Tamandua tetradactyla: one gene and its partner. The protein of the gene in region 2 interacts with the protein of the main gene of each other region in a pairwise test. Links are inferred from orthologs where the notes say so. Each region holds a gene or a part of one and is shown on either strand. Other genes may lie near its edges.

What was found.
Region 1: the proteins of PTPN6 (region 2) and leukocyte-associated immunoglobulin-like receptor 1 interact in binary tests that used the Homo sapiens proteins (3 or more experiments, as listed by UniProt). The link is inferred for Tamandua tetradactyla from reciprocal best matches to the Homo sapiens genes PTPN6 and LAIR1.

What each region holds. Positions count from the first base shown.
Region 1 is NC_135342.1:5,118,239-5,126,340, forward strand, and holds the start of leukocyte-associated immunoglobulin-like receptor 1, read left to right. Parts: upstream 1-5,060; 5' UTR 5,061-5,066; coding exon of another isoform or gene 5,067-5,108; intron 5,109-5,118; exon of another isoform or gene 5,119-5,312; intron 5,313-8,102. UniProt on the Homo sapiens protein: Functions as an inhibitory receptor that plays a constitutive negative regulatory role on cytolytic function of natural killer (NK) cells, B-cells and T-cells.
Region 2 is NC_135333.1:69,241,320-69,248,459, reverse strand, and holds the start of PTPN6 (tyrosine-protein phosphatase non-receptor type 6), read right to left. Parts: upstream 3,148-7,140; 5' UTR 2,923-3,147; coding exon 2,909-2,922; intron 1-2,908. Other genes in the region: C7H12orf57 (protein C10), read right to left, coding at 3,724-3,875, 4,571-4,747, 5,077-5,128; ATN1 (atrophin-1), read right to left, coding at 6,773-6,806, 6,957-7,137. UniProt on the Homo sapiens protein: Tyrosine phosphatase enzyme that plays important roles in controlling immune signaling pathways and fundamental physiological processes such as hematopoiesis.

The DNA.
Region 1 (8,102 bases), on a different chromosome or scaffold from region 2:
GGAGATGCACTAGTCAAAATTTAAATTTTGTACCAAATAAATATTTTTTGCTTTAGTCTAACACATAAATTGAAATTTTTAAATATTAATTACCATCTATTTTCAGTACCCTGCAGTAATGACATTCCTTTGTTCTTCCTCATGCACAAGCATTTTTTAAATTTTAAAAATTTAATCCAATTTTTTTAAGTGAAGAAATGAGAAAAAGACTTGAATAGACACTTCACAAAAAATAAAAAGGATATTCAAGTGATCAAAACCGTAAGAATATGTTATTTAAAGAGAAGGAGGAGTATAACAGAGAAGATGGGATTTAACAAATGAGTATGACTGTTGAGTCATTATATTGGCATTTCTGCTAGTCTCCAGTGTCTTGGAGTAGCTAGAAGAAAAAATTAAAATTCATGGAACTGTATCGTATATTGTGCTGGTTTGAAAGGGTGTATATACCTTAGAAAAGCCATGTTTTAATTCTAATGCTATTTTGTAAGACCAGCCGTTTCTTCTAATGCCTATTCAGTTACTATATATTTGAAACCTTAATTAGATCCTCTCCCTGGAGATGTGACTCAATCAAGAGTGGTTGTTGAGCTGGATTAGGTGGAGACATGTCTCCACCCATTTGGGTGGGTCTTGATTAGTTTATGGGAATCCTATAAAAGAGGAAACATTTTGGAGAAAGCTTGAGAATCTGAGAAAGCAGAGAATGCCACAGAACCACGAAGCAGAGAGTCCATCAGCCAGTGACTTTTGGAGAAGAAAAAGGAAAATGCCTCCCGGGGAGCTGGAGAGGAAGGGAGGAGATGACGCCATGTTCACATGTGCCCTTCCAGCTGGGAGAGCAACCCTGACTGTATTCACCATGTGCCCTTCCACTTGAGAGAGAAACCCTGAACTTCATTGGCCTTCTTGAACCAAGGTATCTTTCTGTGGATGTCTTAGATCAGACATTTCTATAGACTTGTTTTAATTGGGACAGTTTCTCCGCCTTAGAACTATAAATAGCAACTTATTAAATTCCCCCTTTTAAAAGCCATTCCATTCCTGGTATATTGCATTCCAGCAGCTAGCAAACTAGAACACATACCAAACTGCTCCATAGCTGCTTATTAAAATGTACTTGGAAATTTATGGCTTTTTTGTATACATATTGTATTTCACAATAAAAAACTTTAAAAAGCCATATGAAAATGTTCTTAACTGTATTAGTTATCTGAGACTTGCAAACTAAAACTGCAGTGAGATATCACTATACAGGAAAGTGTGGCTAAAATAAAAAGAGCTGGTGAGTGCGGGGCAAGGTCAGCATTCAAATGCACTGGGTGGGAGTGTGAGTTGGTAGGACTGCTTTGAAAAGCGTTTGGCAGCGCCTACTAAAGTTGGACAGAATATGTACCCTGAGACATGGCAATTCCAGCCCTAGGCCAATACCAGCATAAATGCACAGATGTGTACTAAAATGCTCAAGGGGTGCTATCCATATAGCCTAAACTCTAAACTAGAAAATGATTATGAACACTGGAATGGATAAATGAACTGTGGTTATTCAAACAACTGAATATGAACAGATTGATGAAAATTGATCATTTACAGCTACATGCACTATTATGGACAAATCTGACAAATATCTGGTTGAGCAAAACAAGCCAGGCAGGCACAGGAGATAAGAGCATTTCCAGATCTCTATGAAGAGCCATTTCCCTTAGAGAGAAGTTCCTGGAAAGCAGAATGAAGAGGCTTCTAAGGAGCTAATTCTCTTTATTAATCAGGTTGGTGGTAATGTGGATGGGCTTAATTTGTGAAAATCTATCAAGTGTTGCACGTCGTATGTGCACTTTTTGTGTATTTCCTTCAATAAAAGTAAGCACGCACATATACCTGCTGAGATTCACCATCGTAAAACTGCTAAAACCCGAAGACCAAGAGGAAATCTTAAAAGTATTGAAATAAAAAGAACACATTATTTTGAAAGGGGCAACAATAACGTTGATGGCTTATTCGCAACAGAAATGATGGATTCTGATAACAATGGAATACTGGAAGAAAATTGCCAATCTAGACTGTAGAACAAGAGAAAATGCTCTTCAAGATTGAAGGTGAAACAAAGACATTTTCAGACAATGAAAAACTGATTGTATGCATTACCAACAGATGGGTACCAAAAAATAAAATGCTCAGGCAAAAAAAAAAAAGTCCCAATGGAAACAAAGAAATGCATGGAGGAATGAACTGGAAAAGGTCGCTATTTGGATAAATGTAGGATTTTTAAAATGATTTCCTCATCATTAATGAATTAGTAAAATGTTGATGCATTCTCACTGTAGATTTGATGAGATTAAAAAATTATTGTCACCAGTTCAAAGGTGATGGTGGAGTTATACAGGGAAGGCAGGGTTTAACAAATGAGTATGATTGTTGAATCATTATATTGATGTCTCTTTTAGTCTCCAGTATCTTAGAGCAGCTAGAAGTAAAAACCTACAATTGTGGAATTGTCACCCATACCAAATTCTGAAGTCTGTTCTACAATGAATGTGGTGATTTGCTTTGAATTTTATTGCTTTTTGTATATGTACGTTATTTTTCATAGAGAAAAAGAAAAAAAACATCGATTGTGATGATAAAAAAATATTTATTCCTTCTAGCCTCCAATGTTCTGGAGCAGCTAGAAGGAAAAATCTGAGAAGATGTTATGGTAACCCATGAGAGACAATAGGATCTGTCCTGTAACTACTTGTCGAAGAGTGCTTTAAAAACTACTGCTTTTTTCTTTCTTTGCTTTGTATCTATATTATATTATACAGTGTTCTAATTTGCTAGCTGCTGGAATGCAACACATCAGAGATGGATTGGCTTTTAATAAAAAGAAATTTATTTCATTAGTTCTTCAGAGGAAAGGCAGCTCACTTTCAACTGTGTTTCTTGCTTATGCAGGAAGGCACAGGTGGTCTCTGCTGGCCTTCTCTCCAGGCCTTTGGGTTCCAACAACTCTCCCCGGGGTGATTTCTTTCTGTACCTCCAAAGGCCTGGGCTGAGCTGCGAGTTGCTGAGATGAGGTATGCTGAGCTGCCTGGGCTGTGCTACCTTGAGCTCTCTCATTTAAGCACCAGCCAATTAACTCAAACATCATTCATTGCAGCAGACACGCCTCCTAGCCCACTGCAGATGTGATCAGCGACAGATGAGGTTCATGTACCATTGGCTCATGTCCACAGCAACAAAACTAGGTGCCTTCACCTGGCCAAGTTGACACCTGAATTTAACTACCACACACAACAAAAATTTAAAAATTGCAACCATAAAGTTAAAAAATGGCAATTTACATATATACACACACAGATAGATTTTTTTTTATGAAACTATATTTACAAAAATGCAAGGGAAATTTGAAAAGATTTAGGAGTTTTGTTACTTCAGGGGAGGAAGGGCAGGGTCAAGATGGGGTCAACCACAGAAATAGATATGGTTTCTCTTTTTACATGTGCTGTTTAATTTCCTCTTAAATGGCCTCTGGGAGTATGATTTAATGTAGCCAGTGGTATGCTGGCAAATGTTTAATAATCATCTCTCTGAAGGAAAATACCTGAATTGTAGTGTTTGCCAGTTTCCATGGTATAAATGTTCATGCCATGACCAATTTCAAGTTACCAACGTGGCGTCGCTGAACGTGGATTTGGGAAGAGGTGTCATCACTAGTGTGCAGGAGCTGGTGTGGGCTGGCTCCAGCGTTTCACTAAGTCTAATATTAAGGAAATTGAAATTTGTAGTAATCCAAGGGCTTAGGGTTATAGGGCTATCTATTCTTTAAGCAAAACAAGAACAAGAAAGAGGGAGAAAAGAGAGAGAGAGAGAGAGAGAGTGATGGGGAGGGGAAGAATATTAATTTGGAACATTAATCATGAGTATTTAGATAGCCCCCTCAAGAAACACCTTTTGAAAAAAAAAATCCCATTTTGTAGAGGCAGAATAATCCCTATTCAATATTGCATGTAATTAGATCATCCCCCTGGAGATGTAACCCAATCAAGAGTGTTTGTTAAACTGGATTAGGGGAGATGCATCTCCACCCATTTGGATGGGTCTTGATTGGTTTACTGGAGTCCTATAAAAGAGGAAACATTTTGGAGAATGAGAGATTCAGAGAGAGCAGAACGACATAGCTGTGAGGAGTAGAGAGCCCACAAGCCAGCAACCTTTGGGGATGAAGAAAGAAAACTCTTCCCGGTGAGCTTCACGAAACAGGAAGCCAGCAGGATGAGAAAGCCAGCAGATGATGCCTGGTTCGCCATGTGCCCTTCCAGCCTAAAGAGAAACTGACTGTTCTCGCCATGAGCCTTCTCACTTGAGAGAGAAACTCTGAACTTCATTGGCCTTCTTGAACCAAAACATCTTTCCCTGGATGCCTTAGATTGGACATATCTATAAACATGTTTCATTAGGACATTTTCTCAGCCTTAGAACTGTAAACTAGCAACTTATTAAACTTCCCTTTTTAAAAACCAAAAAGAAACACCTTTTACATGTGTCATGCTTTGCTAGTTGAGTGGAATTCCAAGATATTATTGATAACTGGAGGACCTTCATGAAGGAATGCTTATCATTTTATGAGTGGTACTGAGTCAAAATTCTAGTTGTAATAATCATTTGAATATATGCTCCAAGCGTTTTTACAAGAATAACATGCTAACATATTTAGTTGGTAAAAGAATAGTGTACATTATAGTAAGTAGACCTTGTAGTTAAGAGACGGATCAAGGTAAATTTTTAAAAAGCCTCGATGAGTTTAGCATTTGGTAAAACCAAACTGTGACCACTTTGGATATGGAGATTGGGACAGAACCATGATTCATGCCAAATATTATAACTTTGGGTCTCATGTAAAAAAATTCTAGGATGCTATGTTCCTTCTTCAGCACCAACCCGAAGAAGATGAGAAGTAGGAAGAAACTGCTCATTTTCCTATGTGGTTGCCAGCTTGTGAACCATTTGAACTGTGGTGCTGGTTGCTGGCCGCCACATCCTGTGCATTTTTCAGTTTTACTGGGCTCCTCCTTCCTATGCAGCAGATGCAGTTTTGTGCCTCCCACATTCATCACCCGCTATTCTTGGTAAGTCTTGCCATGGAAGGGAGAAGAGGGTCATGTTGGAAAATCTTGGCCTGAAGATCATAGCAGAGGGCTGGAGGTCAGAGCCCACAGGAAGCTGAGCTCATCCATGGTCCAGGCTTAGTTGGATTCATACGGAGATGAATCACCCATCATGAGTATTTTCTTCCATGGTTTCATCTGGGCCAGAAGATCTTGGCATAAATAGTGAGTTGATCCCTTCTTCCCAGCACCCTTAGGTTACTTTATTGGCTGAACACAAAGGGTTTTCCCAGACCGAAATGGTGGTGCTCATAAAGGTGGGCTAAAGCGGATGACTCAGAGAGGGCTTTGCACTTGAGTCTTCTGGAAAGAGGAGACCCTGGAATACTCTGGGTTCGTATGGCTTTCTGGATACCGCCCCCCTCCCCCACCCCGACACTCTTCTCTGGCTGAACCAAACTGGGCATATTAAAAAACTGGAGTCTTTGGGATCTAATTAGATAATCTGTATAATGAAGGAAAGACATGGGGGTTAGGACCAGGATTTAGGTCAAGTTCTCCCGTCTGTCCATGAAATCTCAGATGTGGGTGGATGTTGCCTCACAGTCTCAGGAGGGCTTGGTCAGCCTGCAGTGGCCATGCTGGAATACTACTTGAATTTTGGAATATTCTAATGCAGGCTTGTTCTAGTTTGTTAGCTGCCAGAATGCAATATACCAGAAACGGAATGGCTTTTTAAAAGGGGAATTTAATAAGTTGCTAGTTTACAGTTCTAAGGCTGAGAAAATGTCCCAAGTAAAGGAAGTCTATAGAAATGTCCAATCTATGGCATCCAGGAAAAGATACCTTCGTTCAAGAAAGTCAATGAAGTTCAGGGTTTCTCTCTCTCTGGAAAGGCACATGGTGAACACAGTCAAGTTTTTCTCTCGGCTGGAAGGGCACATGGCAAGCATGGTGTCATCTGTTAGCTTCCTCTCCAGCTCCCCAGGAGGCATTTTCCTGCTTCACCTCCAAAAGTCGCTGACTGGTGGACTTTCTGCTTCATGGTGCTGTGGCACTCTCTGCTCTCTCAGGTTCTTAAGCCTTCTCCAAAATTTTTCCTCTTTTATAGGATTCCAGTAAAGTAATCAAGACCCACCTAGAATGGGTGGAGACACATCTCCACCTAATCCTATTTAACAACCACTCTTGACTGAGTCACATCTCCAGGGAGATAATCTAATTAAGGTTTCAAACATGTAGTACTGAATAGGGATTAGAAGAAACGACTGCCTTTACAAATTGAGATTAAGATTAAAACATGGTTTTTCTAAGGTACATACATCTTTTCAAACCAGCACAAGCCTCATCTTTTAATAAAATCTCATGTCTCAATTTATGTCATTTTATTTATGCAGATTTTGTCTTTATGGTTGACATTCAGTTTTTATTTAATTTGAAATATTATTTATGTGTCAGAGTCTACTAAGAAAATGATTATTCCATTCTTGTGCCACACTTCAAGTAAAATTTTTGTTCGAGAAAGGTGCCCCATGCCTACCCTAGGTGAAGTGTTTTCCTGATATGGCACTAAGATGCCTTGGGTGTGAATGTCCTCCTGCTTGGAGATGAAGGTCTTTAAAGAATGCACCTTCTGAGAACACTGGAGAAGGGACATCTCCACAATCACATCTGTATCCATGAGAGTTCTCCAGAGAAACACAACCTACAAGAAATTACACATATGTATGATTTATTCTTAAGGAATTGGCTTACACAGTTGTGAGGGTTAGCAAGTCCTAAATCTGTAGGCCAGGCTGACAGGCAAGAAATTCCAGTAAGATTTGGTGTTGCAGCCTTGAGTCTGGAATCCATGGGGGAGGCCAGCAGGCTGGAAACTCTGAGAGGAGTAGAGGGTTTCATCTTCAGGTAGAATTCCAACTGAGTAGATAAGGCCCATTCACATCAACAAGGGTCAACTCCTTTACTTAGAGTCAACTGATTGCAGATGTTGATCATAGCTGCAAAATTCCTTAAAGCAACATCTAGGCTGTGTTTTGACCCAACATCTGGATATAATAACCTAGCAAGTATGACACATAGAATTAATCATCACAACTCTCTTAAGGGAAAACCCAGAGTAGCTGTCCCAGTGGTCCCTCTGACCTTCGTTTGTGTTGAAACAAATAAATGTTGAGTCTGCCCTCTGCCTTAAGGTAGTCAGCATACAGTATGTCCCCAAGTCCTTCCTGCATCAGAAACTACACACAATATTTAAAGTATGATGGTACTACCAGTCAGCATTCAACCAAGAAAATAAGAGTTGTTCTATGCATTTAGAAGGAAGAGAACTAAATGCAATGTGGTACTCTGATCTGGATCCTGAGACAGGAAAAGGACATTCATGAAAAAACGGATTTTGATAGTTAATTTCATGTATCAACTTGGCTGGGTTATAGAGTCCAGTTGTTTGGTCAAGCACTGGCCTGCTGTTACTGCGAGGGTATTTTGTGGATTTAAATCACTAGCCCAGTTGCTTGCCTCTACGTCTGATGACATCTACAATCAACAAAGTAGATGGGCCTTCAGCAAAGAGAGAAGTCTCATCCAATCAACTGGAGATCTTAAAAGGAGAAGTGAGGATTTTAGCAGTCAGAAAGAAGAATTTTTATTTCTAATCTAGATAGATAGTTTTCTCCTGAGGAATTCAATATCCCTTTCATTGAGTTTCCAACCTGCAGCCTGCAAGTTGAGCTTACCTATCCCTATGATTGCATGAGCCAATTGATATAATAAATTTCTTAATATCCATATCTATCTATCTATCTATCATCTATCTATCTATCACGTACTGTTTTGACATGTGTACCATGGTTATGTACACTTGTTGTGTATGGTTACGTGGTTGCATAATATGGTTATGCCCAGGCTAATGGAAGCTGGTTGTAAGATATATAGGAACTCCCTACTTTGTCTTAGTAACTTTTCTGCACATCTACAATAGTTCTAAGATGAAGAGTTTATTTAAAAAAGAAG
Region 2 (7,140 bases):
GAATGTTGTATCACGGACATGTATTACCTCCCGGAAAATAAATAACTTGACTTGGAGACAGCAATTTCTGGGAAACTTCTGAGGTTCTAGGAATGTTTCGTATCACATTAGGCACATTATTATGTGTTATACGACAATAAAAAAGTTAAGGACAAATAGTAAAATCTACAAGTCCAGCACATATCTGGTCCAGTGTAAACGCCCACACATGAGCACCGGGTCCTGACCACATGTGAGACCTCAGCTCCGTGCTCAGCACCAAATACCTCCTGCACCCTGGCTCCACCCACTCTCTCTCCTCAGCTTAAACCTACTTGTCGGGAAAGATCTAACTAAGCGTCCAGAAACTCCTGACTCATCAAAGATGCAGGAATTTATCTGAAATGTGCACAGTCAGAAGGTAGAGACACAAAGAGATGGACAGTCAGTCTCTGCTGCCCCTTGGCAGGGAAATTTTAAAATAATAACCCCCAACCACTGAGTAAGGCCTGAAACAGATGTTCTTACACCAATGTTGATAGCAGCATTATTCACAGTTGCTGAAAGGTAGAAGCAACCCAAAACCCAAGTGTCCGTCTACAGATGAAAAGATCAGCAGAATGTGTTCTATCCATACAAGGGAACACTGTTCAGCCATAAAAAGGAATGACGTCCTGATACACACGACCACATGGCTGAACCCTGAAGACATCATTTTGAGCAAAATTAGCCAGACACAAAAGGGTAGATATCATATGATTTCACTTATGTGAAATAACTAGAATATGCAAATTCATAGAGACAGAAAGTAGACTCCAGGTTCCTGGGGCAAGGGTGGGGACCGAGGAGTCACTGCTTACTGGGTAGAGGGTTTCTGTCTGGGGCAATGGAAACATTTTGGTAATGGACGGTGGCGATGGTAGCACAACACTGCTAACGTAATTACCACTGATGGTATACTCGAGAGTGGTTAAAATGGGAAATTTTATGTTGAATACATGTCACCACAATAAAATTTTTTTTAGGAAGAAAGATAAAGTTTGATAGTTGTTCCATGCTCTTGAGTTAGCAGAGCATTTGCACGTGCATAATCCTATTTTGGCCATGGATGGACCTGTGATGTAGGAATATCTTCTACGTTTTTGAAGGGGAGGAAACTGGCTTAGAGCAGCTGGGAGTTACATATTAAGAGCCTGATAATTCAGAACAGAAAATTACTCCTTTGGGAAACAAGGAGATAAAAGCGGAGACCAAGATCAATGGTGAGACCTAAAGACAAGCAGTCTGAAAGGGCAAAGGGCAGACGAGGTGAAACAACTTCTAGAAAGTAGTTTAACTCCTCTGAGTCTCAGTATCCCCACCTATAAATAGGCTTAATGATATTTCCCAAACACTGATATAAAAAGCTGATAGGTGATAGCTTTCAGGGCCAACAGATTTTACATGACATTATTAATCCTCATGTCTACCTTTTAGTGGGTATTGATAGCTCAACTTTGGAAATAAAAACTCAGGTGCAGAGGGGTTATGTAACATGCCCAAGTCACAAGCTAGTAAGAGGGAAGATGGACAAACCTCGACTGATGCCAGGACCCACTGCCTTTTCCACCACACCAACCATACTCCTGGAGAAGGCTTCATGGAACAGGTGGGGTGGTCACTGGAACAGTCCATGGTAGAAAAGGAAGGGGGCAGGCATTCCACAAGGGGCAGCATCTGCAAAGGCCCAGAGGCAGCAGGCACAGAAGACACTTGAGGGGCAGTGCTGGACATGAGCTGAGCAGTGTGGCTTGAGCAAAGTTGGCCCGAGAGACTGGGACCCAGCTGCAGATAGCCTTCCCAGGCCAGGCCAGGGAGCCAAGGAAAGGTTCTGCAAGGGGGAGGCCATGCCAAGGTGCCTGAGTGTGAAAGGGATCAGGGACCAGAGACCCCATAAGAATCCTGTCTGTGGGGGTTGACAGCAAGGAGGGTGTGCAGCAGGGGAGGCAGTGCCAACAGAAAGGAAGGGGCAGATGTGAGTGTGAGAAGCATGGACCCACAGGACTGGGGGTGCTCAGCAATGCCCAAACTTACCAACACTCTCTAAGCAGGACTTCACTTAGAAAAGGCACAGCCTGCCCTGGCCCTGCCTGCCTTTCCTCCAATTTACTGGGCTTGAGGCATTCTGTCCTTTTGTTGTTTGTTTCCACATCAGTACCTGCCATTCCCTCGGCCCATGGCGGGAGCTTGACCTCCAATCACCACATGGCTGGCTGCCTCTTCTTCATCATCCAGGTCTCAGCTCAAAGGACACCTCCTTAAGAGAAATCCTCCCTGATCCCTGCAGCTAGTAATGCCCCTGGCAACCCCAGTCACTTGCAAGCACTAGAGCAGTTTCTTTTTTCTACATAATCCCTGTAAGGATCTAAAATTATTTTGTTGGGTTGATTGCTACATGGTGCCTCCTATTAGAAGGACATGAGAGCAGGAGCCGTCCGGGTCTTTGTCACTATTGCATTGCCAGCACCTAAGCAGGCCCTGGCACCTAACAGATGCTCAGTAGTCTCCTATTGAATGAATGATGTGAGAAATGGGAAAGTTCAGGGCAACTGAAAGGGAATGGAACCAAGGCCAGAGGTTGGGATGTGAAGGGGAAGTTGAGTGGGAGCAGGAACGCTTTTTCAGGTTTGCCTTTCAGGCTTATGTTTGAGACAATGTGGTTACCCAGGGCGCCAGCTCTCATGGGCAATGGTGAGAATAGACAGACATCTGTGAGGCAGGAGAAAAGGGGGCAGGGGGCATGAATGCGCTTAGGAGTCCTCACATCCTGGGGAGGGGGACACACTGGCACAGGAAGCAAACCCACAGAAGGTCCCACTCATGGTCACATACCTGCCCCTCCCTCCCAAACTTACGGAAGCCTGGGGACTTACGTAGACAGGGGACTTACCCACAGGACAGCATGTCCCTGGAGGGATGGAGGAGTCACAGGCAGTGGGCCGCAGGGGGTGGGGCCAAACCAGGGGCAAGCTAAGCACAGTGGCCCAGCCAGGAGAGGAAGTCGCTCAGAACTCAGCCACTTCCTCCTTAATCCCACCCGCCAGGCCAATGGCACTGCTAGGATAAGCCCCTGGACTAATGATCCCCGGAGAAGGGACAGGTGGGGCGGGGCTGGCCTCAGACCGCCCACAACAGCCCGCTTCCCCTCCAGCTCCACTCTACTGTCCCACAGGCCTGCCTGCCTATCCAGGGCCTCCTTCCCTTGGGAGGGAGGAGTCATCTGGCGCTCCACCTGACAGGACAGCAGGAAGGCAGGTGCCGGGAAACCAGGAAGTAGCCCTGGCAAAGGGAACGTCAACCAATGGCGGAAACTCACAATCCACAGAAAGCAATGAGGCGATGTAAAAGCCCTGGAAGTCTAATTCCTCAGAGAAGGAAGTGCCACCACAGTGCAGGCCCACCTGTCCTGGTGTCAAGGGTACCAGCCCATACTCTCACCCTGTGGGCGATGGGGAGGATTGAGGAGCCTGAGACCCTCACCTGCTCCAGGTGGGAGGCCAGCAGAGCACAGAGGAAGGATCTGGATGAGAAGATGTGGGGCAGCCTGGAACGGAAAGGGAATCAGGGGACAGGAGGTGGAGATTGTCAGGATCACAAAAGACTGACGCAGAGGCCAAGACACAGGCACGTTTATTATCCTCTGGAAACACCAAGGCCTTCCCTTCCCAGACAGCAGCACTGGGCAACAGGAAAGGACCAACCCCCTCAGGAGGCAGCGATGCTGCCACCAGAAGCAGGCCCGTGGGGCGGCAGTGTCATGGGCGGCAGGAACAGAGCCTTCAGCTTGCCTGACAGGCTGGCAATTTCAGGATCCTGGGCTTCATAGGACTTGACCAAGCGAGCAAACTTAAGGACACCTGCAAGAGGGAGTGGAGAGTTAGCTCACGCCTGGGAGGGCTGGACCAAGACGGCAGGAGGGGGCAGTTTGAACATGCCTCATAGGTTGCTCCCCCACTACCAGGGAGCTGTCTGAAAAACAGGACACCAGCTGGCCTCTATCCTGTGTGGTTTGGATCAACCACTTCCTGGTCTACACTGGGCACAACCAGTTGGGAATACAGTGAATGAAACAATCCCAAAGTAAAGTGCTCCTCGCTCTCAGGTGAACCATTTTAACAGTTAAGTCACAAGAGCCCTAGTATGAACGTCCACAAGATCCCAGGTCTGTTACCAACACAGGAGATCACAGGACAGCTGGGATTGAATCACACAAATCCCCAAAAAGATATTAGCTGAAACACTGTGACGGGGGCGCCAAACATCTTGTGGTTGTCACACTAAACTGCTAGAAGTCCAGTTCTGCTGCGACTCTGGGCATTTACTTTACAGATAGAGTCTGTTTCTTAATCTTACAATGGGATAATATAATGTTTAACAGGTAACCACAAAATGGACTTCAGACTTGGGTTGGCACAATTTGAGGTTAGATCCTTGGCGTCAACACTGCTGGGTTGTGGCCGCCGCCCTGTGGCGAAAAGGGGCACGACGGCAAAGGGGCACGAGCGCCCCACCACCCCTCTCCCCGACCCACCCCCATACCCCGTCTACCCACCTTCCCCGTCGCAGCTAAAACCATAAGCCTTGATGACCTCTTGCTGGATCTGCGTAGCCACGGGCAGCACAAATTGCAGCATCTTGCCCATGTCGTTGCACGCGTTGTCCCTAGCTTCGTCCATACGTACAGCGTTCTCCGGGGCCGAGAACGCCTGGATCACCTCGGCTAGAACCACTGTGCGCCAGGGCCATCCAGGGAAGAGCCCGAAGGAGGCGGTGGACCACCGTGGGTGGGTCCGGACAAGAGAGCAGGAAAATGCGCCAGGAATTAGTGGGCCGAGGCCATCGGCAGCCCACCCGATAAACTCGGCCCCTAATCCCTACCTTCAGGGGGCAGGACCCCACTCAGGAGCAGGAGACAGCACCCCGCGACAGCTCCATCCTCTCTCCTCCCATCCTTCCCTCCTACCCCCGACGATGACAGCCACTATTGTCTCCCGATCCTGCACCCTCATCCTCCCAACAGCAGATGGTCTACACGAGTAACTGGGAATGCTTCCTCACCCTTCGCCTGTTCGGCGCTCAGGGGTGCGGTTTGGGCCGAAGCAGCCGCCATACGGACGAATTGCTACGGATATAACGTAGCGAGGGAAGGAGCGGGAAGTAGGAGCCGACTCCGAAAGCTGTTCCGTGGCCAGAGGTGGTTTGAGAAAAACTCAACCTACTGCAACCGGAAGTTACTCTCGCATAACCTTTAACACTCCACGGCGGGATATGTAAGACCACCACACAAACACTACGGAACCCACAACCAAACAACCGAATTTCTGTAAACCTAGCTCTATTATTTCGAACAAAAACGAGGGTTTTCCGGCTAAAGCCAGAAAACCTACTAGACAAATTCTAAAAGAGCTGCAACACCGATAACGTGTGTCCTGGAGAGAATAGGAATACCTTCGGACTCCACTGTTGATGAGGGTGAATTCGGAGCAGAATTGTTTATTTATTCCTAGTTCTCATTAATATATAATCCGCGAGACATATTGGCACTCCCATGAAAAAAAAGCAGTATTCTGAGGAACTTATTTAAATCGTTCATTTCTAGAGTTTGTGAACGGTTTTCCCGAGCCTATGCAAATGAACCGACACTGATTGGCTGAGAGAACAGCCAGTCACACCCCAACCCTGAATATTTTTAAGAATGAAGACATCGATTTGGCTCAATAAAAGCCTGGAGTAAGCGCAGTTTTTGCATTTCCCTAAAAAGGCTTTGTGCAGGAATAGGTGCTGCAGCGTGACGCGTTTACTTACCTTCAAGGCTTTTCAAATTGCCAGCCTCTCCTTCTTCAAATCCAAGGGTAATTAAAGCTTCGGGGTTCTTGACCTATTTGAGATTAAGCTCACCTCATCCCTATAATCATTTCTCCAACTATTCCATGGAAAGGATGCAGGATTCTGAAATCTTTGTTCCAGAGGATTTTGGGGGGTTGCAGCTGTGGGACCAGAGTAGTTTTCTAGCCAAGCCACGTCAGAGGTTGGCCCATTCCAGGCCTCTAATAAGTGTCTTCCCCAAGCTTGGGGGAAGAGGGAGCGAGCACTGAGTGGGGAGTGGCACCCCCCCAACGAACCCATTAGTCTTCCAAGATCCCCTCTCCAATTCGGGGTCCCCACACCCAGTTCCCTCAAAAGGTTCGTCTGTTCCCACTTGCTGCCAGCCTCTCCAGGCACCGCAGCAGTATACCGCACCACCAGCCCCCAAAGCCCGCAAAGAACCAGTCGCAGCCATCTTCCTCGAGAGTCGTGAGGATATTTTTGTTTGCTTGGTTTTGGTTGGGATGTGTTTTAAAGAGCGTCATATAGATATTTATATATATAAATTATTAATATGGGGAGGGACGAGGGGGATACATCGCAGGGGGCGCGCGCACACGGGGATTGGGCGGGGCGGCACACGATGCTACTCAAAACAGCCACGTCTAACAGATGAAATAATCACACCAACGGGATGGGGAGGGGCCGTGGCCCGGGGGTTTGGGTATGGGGGAGAAGGAAAGCAGGGGATAAAGAAGAGGGTCCTGGTCCAAGATACTGTGCGCTTTCTGCCCCCACCCTGGCCACCTCCCCACACATTCCCTCCCTCTGCCCAACCACGGAGGTCCTGCAACTGAGCAGCACTCTCTCCTGGGCTCTGGGTGGCAGGCTGAGGGGGGGCCTCCAAGGTCCAGATGCAAGGGCCGTGGTACTCTCTTGGTCACAGATTCTACAGTGGCTTGTCACTTTCCTTCTTCAGGTGACTGGGGATGGGGGTAAAAGCAGTGAGTAGAGACTCCAGTTGACCCTGACCTGACCCCTCCTTGCCCAAGTTCCCTACCCCAGCATGCCTACACCCATCTCCAGGCTGGCTGAGCCCACTTGCCCTCCCTCCTGGTTCAGGTGCCCTATACCTGTAGTAGTCCTCCTGGGCAGGTAGCGGCACACTGTGCAGCGGGTGATGGGCATGCAGCCACTGCTGCTGCTCCAGTGCCAGGCGCTGCAGCTCCGCAGACTGCGCGTGCATGGCCTGCAGCTGGTGAGCTGCTGACATCGGGGCAGAGAGGGAGGCTGGCAAGTCCCGGTAGGGGGCAGCTG